Linked DNA regions of Macaca mulatta. The protein of the gene in region 2 purifies or fractionates together with the protein of the main gene of each other region. This does not show direct contact. Links are inferred from orthologs where the notes say so. Each region holds a gene or a part of one and is shown on either strand. Other genes may lie near its edges.

What was found.
Region 1: the proteins of PTEN (region 2) and CENPC purify together in Homo sapiens (affinity purification with western blotting; 3 studies listed by BioGRID, with this or other methods). This does not show direct contact. The link is inferred for Macaca mulatta from reciprocal best matches to the Homo sapiens genes PTEN and CENPC.

Annotation. Positions count from the first base shown.
Region 1 is NC_133410.1:65,937,667-65,942,611, reverse strand, and holds the start of CENPC (centromere protein C), read right to left. Parts: upstream 3,131-4,945; 5' UTR 2,923-3,130; coding exon 2,905-2,922; intron 2,423-2,904; exon of another isoform or gene 2,313-2,422; intron 1,815-2,312; coding exon 1,768-1,814; intron 1-1,767. UniProt on the Homo sapiens protein: Component of the CENPA-NAC (nucleosome-associated) complex, a complex that plays a central role in assembly of kinetochore proteins, mitotic progression and chromosome segregation.
Region 2 is NC_133414.1:99,938,927-99,943,665, forward strand, and holds the start of PTEN (phosphatidylinositol 3,4,5-trisphosphate 3-phosphatase and dual-specificity protein phosphatase PTEN), read left to right. Parts: upstream 1-1,746; 5' UTR 1,747-1,936; coding exon 1,937-2,015; intron 2,016-4,739. UniProt on the Homo sapiens protein: Dual-specificity protein phosphatase, dephosphorylating tyrosine-, serine- and threonine-phosphorylated proteins.

The sequences.
Region 1 (4,945 bases), on a different chromosome or scaffold from region 2:
TATTATTCTTGAGAGCTCGAAAAGTACTATATATGCAGTAAAGATTGTGAGCCACAGTGCATTATCAGGTCATCCGTCATAAAGTTTCATAACTGAAAGATCTCAGATATCATCCAGTCCAATAATTATCCAAATAGATGCATAAGTTACTTTTGGAACTTTGCAGAAATACACATAATTGGTCACTTCCTAGAGACCAATTTAATCAGATTTCCTAGGGTGACGGAGATAATTCTGAGGTGCAAATCTAGTTAAAAACCACTAGGCTGAATCCTATGCCCTCATTTTGCAGACAGGCTAACTGCAATCCAAAATGGTCAAATGGCCTACCTCAGTTTGTAAACCTAATTAGTATTAGTGGCCGGTTTTCTACCAGAATATATATATAGCTGACTGTTACAAATTCTGGCCTTGACACCACCCCAAAATACCACCTACAGCTATAAATACACTCCTACTATTACCTATTTCAAGGAGGAGATCCAGAAACATCAGATTTTCCAAGGTGATAATGCAGAGTCACTATTAGAACACAGGTCACATTAGTCTAGGCAACAGCTTTTTCAAAATTTATCAAATTCATCTTTTCTTCCCCCTTGTCATTATTACCTTAGCATAAAAGCACCTCCATCAAGTCTAGATTACTATAACCCCTTCCTTAAGCTACTCTGTAAACATCAAACATCTTTGCTTTTTTAAATGTGTGTGTGTGTTTACATCAGATAGCCCTTATTCCACAGAAGATTTAGGACAGCTTATTCAAACCTATAATAGATACCTAAGCCTAACATATCCATTTTATGGCTCAATCCAACTCATATGGTCTTGTTTTCCACTTCTACCCAACATATTCAACCTTCTTAAATCAGGTTTCTGCTACCGACAAATGTATGTGTTCCTACTTTGGTTCCTTTGCTAAGTTACTTTCTATGTCTGGAATGAACTTTATCTTAGTCTTTAAATACCTAACCTATTCAAGGTCCACCAAAGTTACACTACAACTTTAAAGCTTTTCTTAATATCAACAACACAGAATTCCCTAATTTCTCACATGGCTGTCTATACTGCAAGTTAATGCCTAATTATATATAGGCGTACTCTCTCTGACACACAAGTCATTACTTCAGTATTATAAGTACTAATTTTTGTCCATTAAAGTATTTCACAAATGTACATATACATCTTCCCAATAGAAATGAAAGCTTCTTGGAAGCAAAATAACATACTTCTGTGCCCTATCGGACCTACTAAAATCACAGCTCAATAAACAAGATGTTATTCAAATAACATCTTCACTTTTAAGAACATGCTTTTCATCCTATTACTAGTAAATATTTAACTAGAAAATTTACTTTTTACAGGTTTTACAACTAAAAGAAGGACCAAAACAACCCAAATAAGCATCCAACAAATAAATGCATGATAGCATGTATTATTTTTGTTTTTGCCCCACTGAATAAGCTACATCCTTCTAATTTTACCATTTGATTCATTCTACAAAATGCTTTTCCCATGGCAGTCACTTAGTCAGAACTGAGATTCCCTCTTCCTGTTTCCACTATTTTATCAGGTGAATTTCTTTTTTCACAGCCACAAAGTCATTGCACTGCTTGCATTAACATTCCGTTAGTATAAGATGACTACCCTTAATCAGTGGGCATAGAAATCATTATTTTAGTCACAGGTGATAGTTTTTCCTTTCTTCATTTAAAAATCTATTAACGATGAGAATAAAAATAATCTTAAAAGCTTAAGTATATAAATCACCTGGAAGGTCGACAAAATCTTCTTCTGTAGCCATTTTTGAGATGATCCTGAAAGAAAAGTAAATCATCCATTTGGTTTAAGATATAGCAGAATAAAATTTATTTTCAAAGTAACTTCATCCAGCATGGGCATGCTATACACCAAATATCTCCTAAGGGCTCAAAACAATTCTAAGGTTATGATAGGCATTTAAAAATTGAACGGCCGGCATCTGGTAAGCTTTATTCCGCTTCTCTCCCCACAGTGAGAATGGCTTTATTGCTTTTTTCTGATTATATATAATGTAAACAATATATGTGCTCATAGTAAAAAGTCTAGATTATATTATTCTTTCATACAACTCTTTATGTTTATATGTATAACGTCACACAATGGGAGATCATCGAAGCTGAAGAAGAGGAGATAAATTAGAAAAGAAATGATACGGGTTTGATATAGCAACCATAACCAAAGTATGAAATATAGAATAGTGAACACCAAAGAAGTCCAGAAATATGTAAACAAAATATGAGTTGCCGCCCCCATTAGTCATTTACAGCTTGTACCTTTTAACTAATAGCTGTCTTTAAGAACACTGTCGATAACTGATGCTCCATAAATCAGCCTCAAGAACTGCATATAAGGCCACCATTTTGACAGAAGAACTGAAAACGTCAAACTATTTCGGGACATACTTGTTACATAATCTGTTTCTCCCAACTAGCAAGTGTGACGCAAAGGCACATTTTTAAGGCGTTTCAATACTTCTACCATGGGGAGAAAAGTATTTGGAGGACTAGGAACTGGAGCTAGACTAAAAAGCAGACGCCAAGATCGCGCCACTGCACTCCAGCCTGGGGGATAGAGCAAGACTCCGTCTCGAAAAAACACCCCAACAGAAATCACAAGCACCTCTCAAGAGTAAGACGCAGGCACAGACGAAGACACGAAAACTTAAGAAATAATAAAAGTACAGTAAATTAACTCCGATTATCGATACACGATCACACTTGATTTCAAAAATTCCTCCGGCTTTCCCACTGAAATCCCTCATGGACCACAGCCCCAGCCTAGCCTTTCCTTCTCCCCCTCCTCGGGCGCCCGTGTCCCCAGCCAGCCGCTCAACCGCTTGCCTGGAGCGCGAGGGCCCGCACTTACCAGACCCGACGCAGCCATGTTCCGGCCCCGCTGAGCCAGCGCAGGGGTCTGAGGTGGAAGCCCACACGGAGCACAACTCCAGGAGGCCGAGCAAGAAATGAACCGCCAGACTACCAGGCGGCGGCCAAGCAACACCCCTAAGTCGAAGAGGACGGCCGGGAGCGCTGGGATCCGGAAGGCGCGCGCTAACAACACTTCCCCGCCATCAGCTCCGCCCTCAAAAAACAAGAACGCTCGGCGCCTGCATGGGTTTGAACCCAGCCGCACATGCGCAAAACGGGCTGCGCCGTCCAATAGGAAGCAAGCGGTTAGTGAGCTCGCCCCTTCTTGCTCTAAGCCAATGGCCCTCCCGCCCGCAGCTCCGCCCGCCCTATCTCTAGCTGCTCTGCTCTTCCCACCTCCCTTCCACAGCGCCGCGTCGGGGACAGGCGCGAGAGTGGGCCTTTATTTGGAAGGCGCGGTCCTGGGAACCGCTCCTTGTGCCCAATGTAAAACTTCTCAACAGTTCTATTAAAGAATAATAAGTAATACTTGGAAGGATGAGAGGTAGAAATTGAAGACTTTTTTTTTAACAGAATCTTTTTGAAGAGATTTTTCTAATGCAAATTCGTCAGCCACGCCCAACCCATCTAACCATCATCTCTGAAAATAATTGAATAATTATGTGTAATAATGGTGATGATGGCTTGTATTCTTTTTCAAGTATGTGGGTGATGTTTTTATGATGCATTGCCAACAAATGACCCACGTAAATAGCTATCATTTAAGTATGATGCACTGAAAAGAATTCTATACAGAATCCTGAAACCTGCCAGCCAATGACTAGCTGTGTTATGGGGAGAAAAATTTCGGCACCATTCTGGGTGTTTCCATAGTGATAGAATGGAAGTCTAACTTAGACGCTCTGAAGACTTCTCACCTGACCAGTGTATGATTCTATGAAGCTGTGTCTTATTTTATTATTTAATTTAAAATTACAAGAAAATTCTAATCAGAAAGTAGTTTACTCATTGAATAAATACATTAATCAGGAGTTGAGCTAATAGATTTTTAAAACATGTAGTGCTTTAATAAATGCTGTCACCTATGAAAGCCAATTTTTTATTTTATTTATTTTTTTTGATAGGAAAGAAAGAGGAACTATGAACTCTGACAGAAATTAGGCCTAGATTGCACTCCATTCCATTAATTCTGCCATTATGGGCAACTAAGTTATCTGTTCCTTAATTCTCTTGTCTGCAAAATGAGAATAATATTAAGTGGTTGAGATGTTGTAATTGAATAATTCCTGTTAAGATCTACACACAATGTTTGGAACAGAGTAAGAATTCAATAATAAAGCTATTGGAATCATTATGGAGACACTTTTACTATGTTTGGCAGTTTTGCCAATCAGTCCACATGATATATAATTTGGTACTATCACATTTGGAATAGATAGTAATAAACACTAACATTTATTGAGTGCATACTCTATGCCCAGTTCTGTAAATGCTTCGCATGCATTGAAGAGAACAATTAATATTCCTGTTTTATAAACAAGGGCACTGAAACACAGAGAGGTAAGTGTCTTGCCCAAGATCACATCACCACTAAATGGTAGGATGGGATATTATCCCAAGAATTCTGACTCCACAACTGAGCTCTTAATCACTACACTCTTTGCCTCTGGGTAAGAAATTTTAGCAAGCACACTTATAGATGTAAAGTCCCATATGTAAAATTATATCCTCCTGCTTCCACTGGAAACTAAGTCCCACAGAGGGTTTTGAGAAATTTGAAATGCAATGGCTTGTGCTGCTGTAGAATGCAGGCCACACAGGGTGCTGAGGATGAACTGTTCTAAAGAAAATGGAGCAGCACTCCTATAAAAACAGTTATGGAGACGCCACAGTTTCCAGACAAACGTTTTACTTCCATATTGTTGTAGTGCTTAGTAGCCCCACCATGGTTTTAGTATCCTAAAATAGGATTGCTAATTAATGGGGGGAGTAATATTTATTTAAAAACCCAGGTTTGTCTTTATAAATCTCCCCCCAAA
Region 2 (4,739 bases):
AGGTGGTCTCTAAGAACCGAGCTTGAGTCCGACGCGGCGAACCGACTTGGAGCCCGAGGGGGAGAGATGCTCTAGTCTCCTAGGGGCACCGGAGCGGGCGCAGGAGAGGGCTGCGGGGTGCGTCCTACTCACGGGGATCCTCTTTCAGTTCATTTAGATAGGTGCCCTTTGGGCTCTGGAAATTCAACGGCGATGTGTTCACGTTCAGCACGCTCGGCTGAGAGCTTTCATTTTTAGGGCAAACAAGCCGAGTTACCGGGGAAGCGAGAGGTGGGGCGCTACAAGGGAGCCGGATGAGGTGATGCACGCTGGAAACACAATAGCAGGTTGCTCTTTGTGCTAAGACTGACATCCTGAGGACACAGGGTTGGGGAAAGGAGGAATCTCTAGGCAAAGGCTGCTACAGTCAAATCTCTGCGAACGACTGTGATCGACAGCGATGCAAAAGAGCGAATGCAGTCCACGCCGCGGAAATCCAGGGGCAGAGGCAGGGGGGAGGGTATTCCCCTTGCAAGGACCGTCCCTGCATTTCCCTGTATACTGACCAGCGTGGTCACCTGGTCCTTTCCACCTGTGCACAGGTAACCTGAGACTCGAGTCAGTGACACTGCTCAACGCACCCATCTCAGCTTTCATCATCAGTCCTCCACCCCCGCCCCGCAACAGCCTACCCTGCCTCCGGCTGGGTTTCTGGGCAGAGGCCGAGGCTTAGCTCGTTATCCTCGCCTCGCGCTGCTGCAAAAGCAGCCGCGGCAAGTGCAGTTGCAGGCTGGCGGCTCGGAACCGGCCCGAGCGAGCTCTAGGCAGCCACACTGGGCATGCTCAGTAGAGCCTACGGCTTGGGGGCTTTGCGCTCGCACCCGGAGCTACCGCTCCTGCCCCCGCCTACCGCCCCCTGCCCTGCCCTCCCCTCGCCCGGCACGGTCCAGTCCGCCTCTCGTTCGGCTCCCGCCTCCCCTCGGTCTCCCGAGGAGCCCGGGCTCCCGGCGCGGCGGCGGAGGGGGCGGGCAGGCCGGCGGGCGGTGATGTGGCGGGACTCTTTATGCACTGCGGCAGGATACGCGCTCGGGCGCCGGGACGCGGCTGCGCTCAGTTCTCTCCTCTCGGAAGCTGCAGCCATGATGGAAGTTTGAGAGTTGAGCCGCTGTGAGGCGAGGCCGGGCTCAGGCGAGGGAGATGAGAGACGGCGGCGGCCGCGGCCCGGAGCCCCTCTCAGCGCCTGTGAGCAGCCGCGGGGGCAGCGCCCTCGGGGAGCCGGCCGGCCTGCGGCGGCGGCAGCGGCGGCGTTTCTCGCCTCCTCTTCGTCTTTTCTAACCGTGCAGCCGCTTCCTCAGCTTCTCTTGAAGGGGAAGGTGGAAGCCGTGGGCTCGGGCGGGAGCCGGCTGAGGCGCGGCGGCGGCGGCGGCACCTCCCGCTCCTGGAGCGGGGGGGAGAAGCGGCGGCCGCGGCGGCCGCGGCGGCTGCAGCTCCAGGGAGGGAGTCTGAGTCGCCTGTCACCATTTCCAGGGCTGGGAACGCCGGAGAGTTGGTCTCTCCCCTTCTACTGCCTCCAACACGGCGGCGGCGGCGGCGGCACATCCAGGGACCCGGGCCGGTTTTAAACCTCCCCTCCGCCGCCGCCGCACCCCCCGTGGCCCGGGCTCCGGAGGCCGCCGGAGGAGGCAGCCGTTCCGAGGATTATTCGTCTTCTCCCCATTCCGCTGCCGCTGCTGCCAGGCCTCTGGCTGCTGAGGAGAAGCAGGCCCAGTCGCTGCAACCATCCAGCAGCCGCCGCAGCAGCCATTACCCGGCTGCGGTCCAGAGCCAAGCGGCGGCAGAGCGAGGGGCATCAGCTACCGCCAAGTCCAGAGCCATTTCCATCCTGCAGAAGAAGCCCCGCCACCAGCAGCTTCTGCCATCTCTCTCCTCCTTTTTCTTCAGCCACAGGCTCCCAGACATGACAGCCATCATCAAAGAGATCGTTAGCAGAAACAAAAGGAGATATCAAGAGGATGGATTCGACTTAGACTTGACCTGTATCCATTTCTGCGGCTGCTCCTCTTTGCCTTTCTGTCACTCTCTTAGAACGTGGGAGTAGACGGATGCGAAAATGTCCCTAGTTTGGGCGACTATAACATTTAACCCTGGTCGGGTTGCTAGGTCATATATTTTGTGTTTCTTTTCTTGTATTCAACCTAGGGTGTGTTCGGCTAGACGGAACTCTTGCCTGGTTGCAAGTGTCGAGGCACCGATTGCTTGCTTAGGCTGTCTATACGGTCTCTTCCTGAGGGCTATTGTCCGTTAATACAGAATACAGTATGCTGTTAGTGGATTAGAGAGCTCGGTAATCCGGTCTCCTAAATGAACAAAAAAGTAGACGCTTTGAGGTTGAGCATATTTCGATTAAATCTTGGCTTAGGCCCTAGATCAAGGGTTTAGATCAGAATAAAATGAAAATTAGTGTTGCACGTATGCATATTGCATCAGAATCTTGCAGTGATTGTTTTAGTTTCCTGGGTTGCATTGATAGATTCTTTTAAAATATGACTGATTTGCATAACTTTAGAAGCAGAATAATTTTCAGTATATATGGTGCACATTGAGTGCAAAAAGTAGTTTTGTTAATGTTTTACACTTAAGTTACAACTTTGGACTGTATTTAGAAGTTTTGTAGTTTGAAATCAATAATGCCATTATATACCTTATAAGGCGTTCTTACTAGATCTTTGTTATATTTACCTTTTTCTCTCCCTATGGGATGATGTAGGATAGGGCTTGAAATTTGCACTTCAGTAGCGTTTAATGTTCAGTGCTCTTGTCATAAACATGGAATGGATATTGAGTAGTTTTTGATCCCAGATGACAATGTGTAGGTTCAAGGGTATTGTGTGTGGCAAGTGAAGATTGCAAAGATAAAACTTCAGTTCATGCTTGAAATTTAAGTATTGTGATGCCAGAATTGCTGCTCACCGTTTTTAGATTTCAGGTTCTCTGACATCTTTTGGTATTGTTAATTTCAGTGATTTGTGTAGAATGTCAAGTGAATTTTACCAGCTAATATCCAGAAATGCTGGCAAGAGAAGTTTACTCCAGCTTTAGATTGTAGGTATGTTAGCTTTTTTCATACAGTGTATTAAATTTACTGAGTCAGCTTGTTGAATAAGACAGAAGCCCAAGAATTTTAACAGTGTATAGCTTTAGTTGTCTAAAAGTTAGGCCTTCGGGCTTCAAAAGTTAGTGGTCATCGAAAAGCATGAATCTTTGCAGTTTCAGGTACAACAGACTGGTTTTGATTAGGGATGGGGATGGGGCCCTCATTTTGCAGAATGGAAAGTATTGACAGGAATTGAGAGCTATTGGTAGGCCAGTGTATAAGGTATGTGAAAACAGAAGTTATTGGTCTGAAGTGACTGAAGCATTTAGGCTCTATCAAGGCCTAAAATTTGGTAATATGAGTTTGGTAATGCGAATTGTGGCAGTGGACAATATTTAGTTAAAATTATGTAATTGCATAAGTACTAGCAGAGTATTTTTAATAAAAATTATTTCTTAGCAAGTATCAGTTGCATTTTGTCTAAAGGTAGCGTGACACTGCAGTGTCTATATGTCCTGCTAAAAATTGTGGGGAAGATTTTTTTTTAAGACAACGTTTATATCGGGAGAGGTTTTATTCCCTTGGATTATGTTAGCTGCATATACATGTGCACAGTTAATTTTGCCCAAGTTTTTGTTTTGAAATGAATATAAAACTTACTGAAGAAGTAGCCTCCCAAAATTTAGTTTTCTGTTAAGTCAGTAATATTATTTTAAAACAGTATTTGCAAATTTTGAAGTTGGCATTAATTGAAAATGTTACTAAGGCTAAACTGGAAGATAAAAATGTTACTAAGGCTAAACCCGCTTGCCCAGAAGATAATTATGGAAAAAATTCTTTTGTGACTTCCAAAGCAGTCTACTATTAGCATGAATTACTGACAGTCATCCAAATATATAGGAACAAAAAATTAAATGTTTATGTAACTTTGAAAAAAAAGCCTCTGAAGAAAATAATTGAATGCTGTCTGGGAGACAGATTTCTTTCAGCACTTAAAGTACATACACACTACTTTTACTTTTCCCACTTTATTTAAAATTGTCAGGGTTATTAAGACCTTAAAATTATTCTACCAGGTTTTTACATGTGAGCTGTGATGTGACTGGCATTTCCTTTGATTTCAGAGTATGTGGGTCTCTACACATGAAATTTATGTGACTTAAAACTTTCTCTAAAATTGTACTTTTAGTTATGCATAGAAAGCAGTATCAAATATTGTGTCAAATGACTAATAACACTTGATTTCTAGAGTTGTGGTTTTATTGAGCCAAAAGTTGGTATGAAAAAAAGTCAGTGAGGAAAGTCAATGAAGTGCTTGCTTTTTTGATAATTGCACTCCCAATAATTTTGATATTCCAACGTACTTGGTTTGCTTGTTTTTCTGTTTATGGGGGTGGGAAGGCATTAAAATGGTCATTGAGGACTTTGTCTTTGGCATGCTGTAGTATTTATTTCGGCAGCTAACCTGTGAAAAGTTAAATTCCTTTATGAAAGTAGTGATTGGAGTATTTTTATCTGGTAAAGAAAGATTAATAATGAAGCCATTTCTCCGAGGAAAACTGAGGACAATAATTCAGTTTTAAAATATCGCAAAATTAAATTATTCTAAATATTTGTTAGTAGGGTTATATATTAATATTAGTCTGAAATATAGTGCTGAATTTGA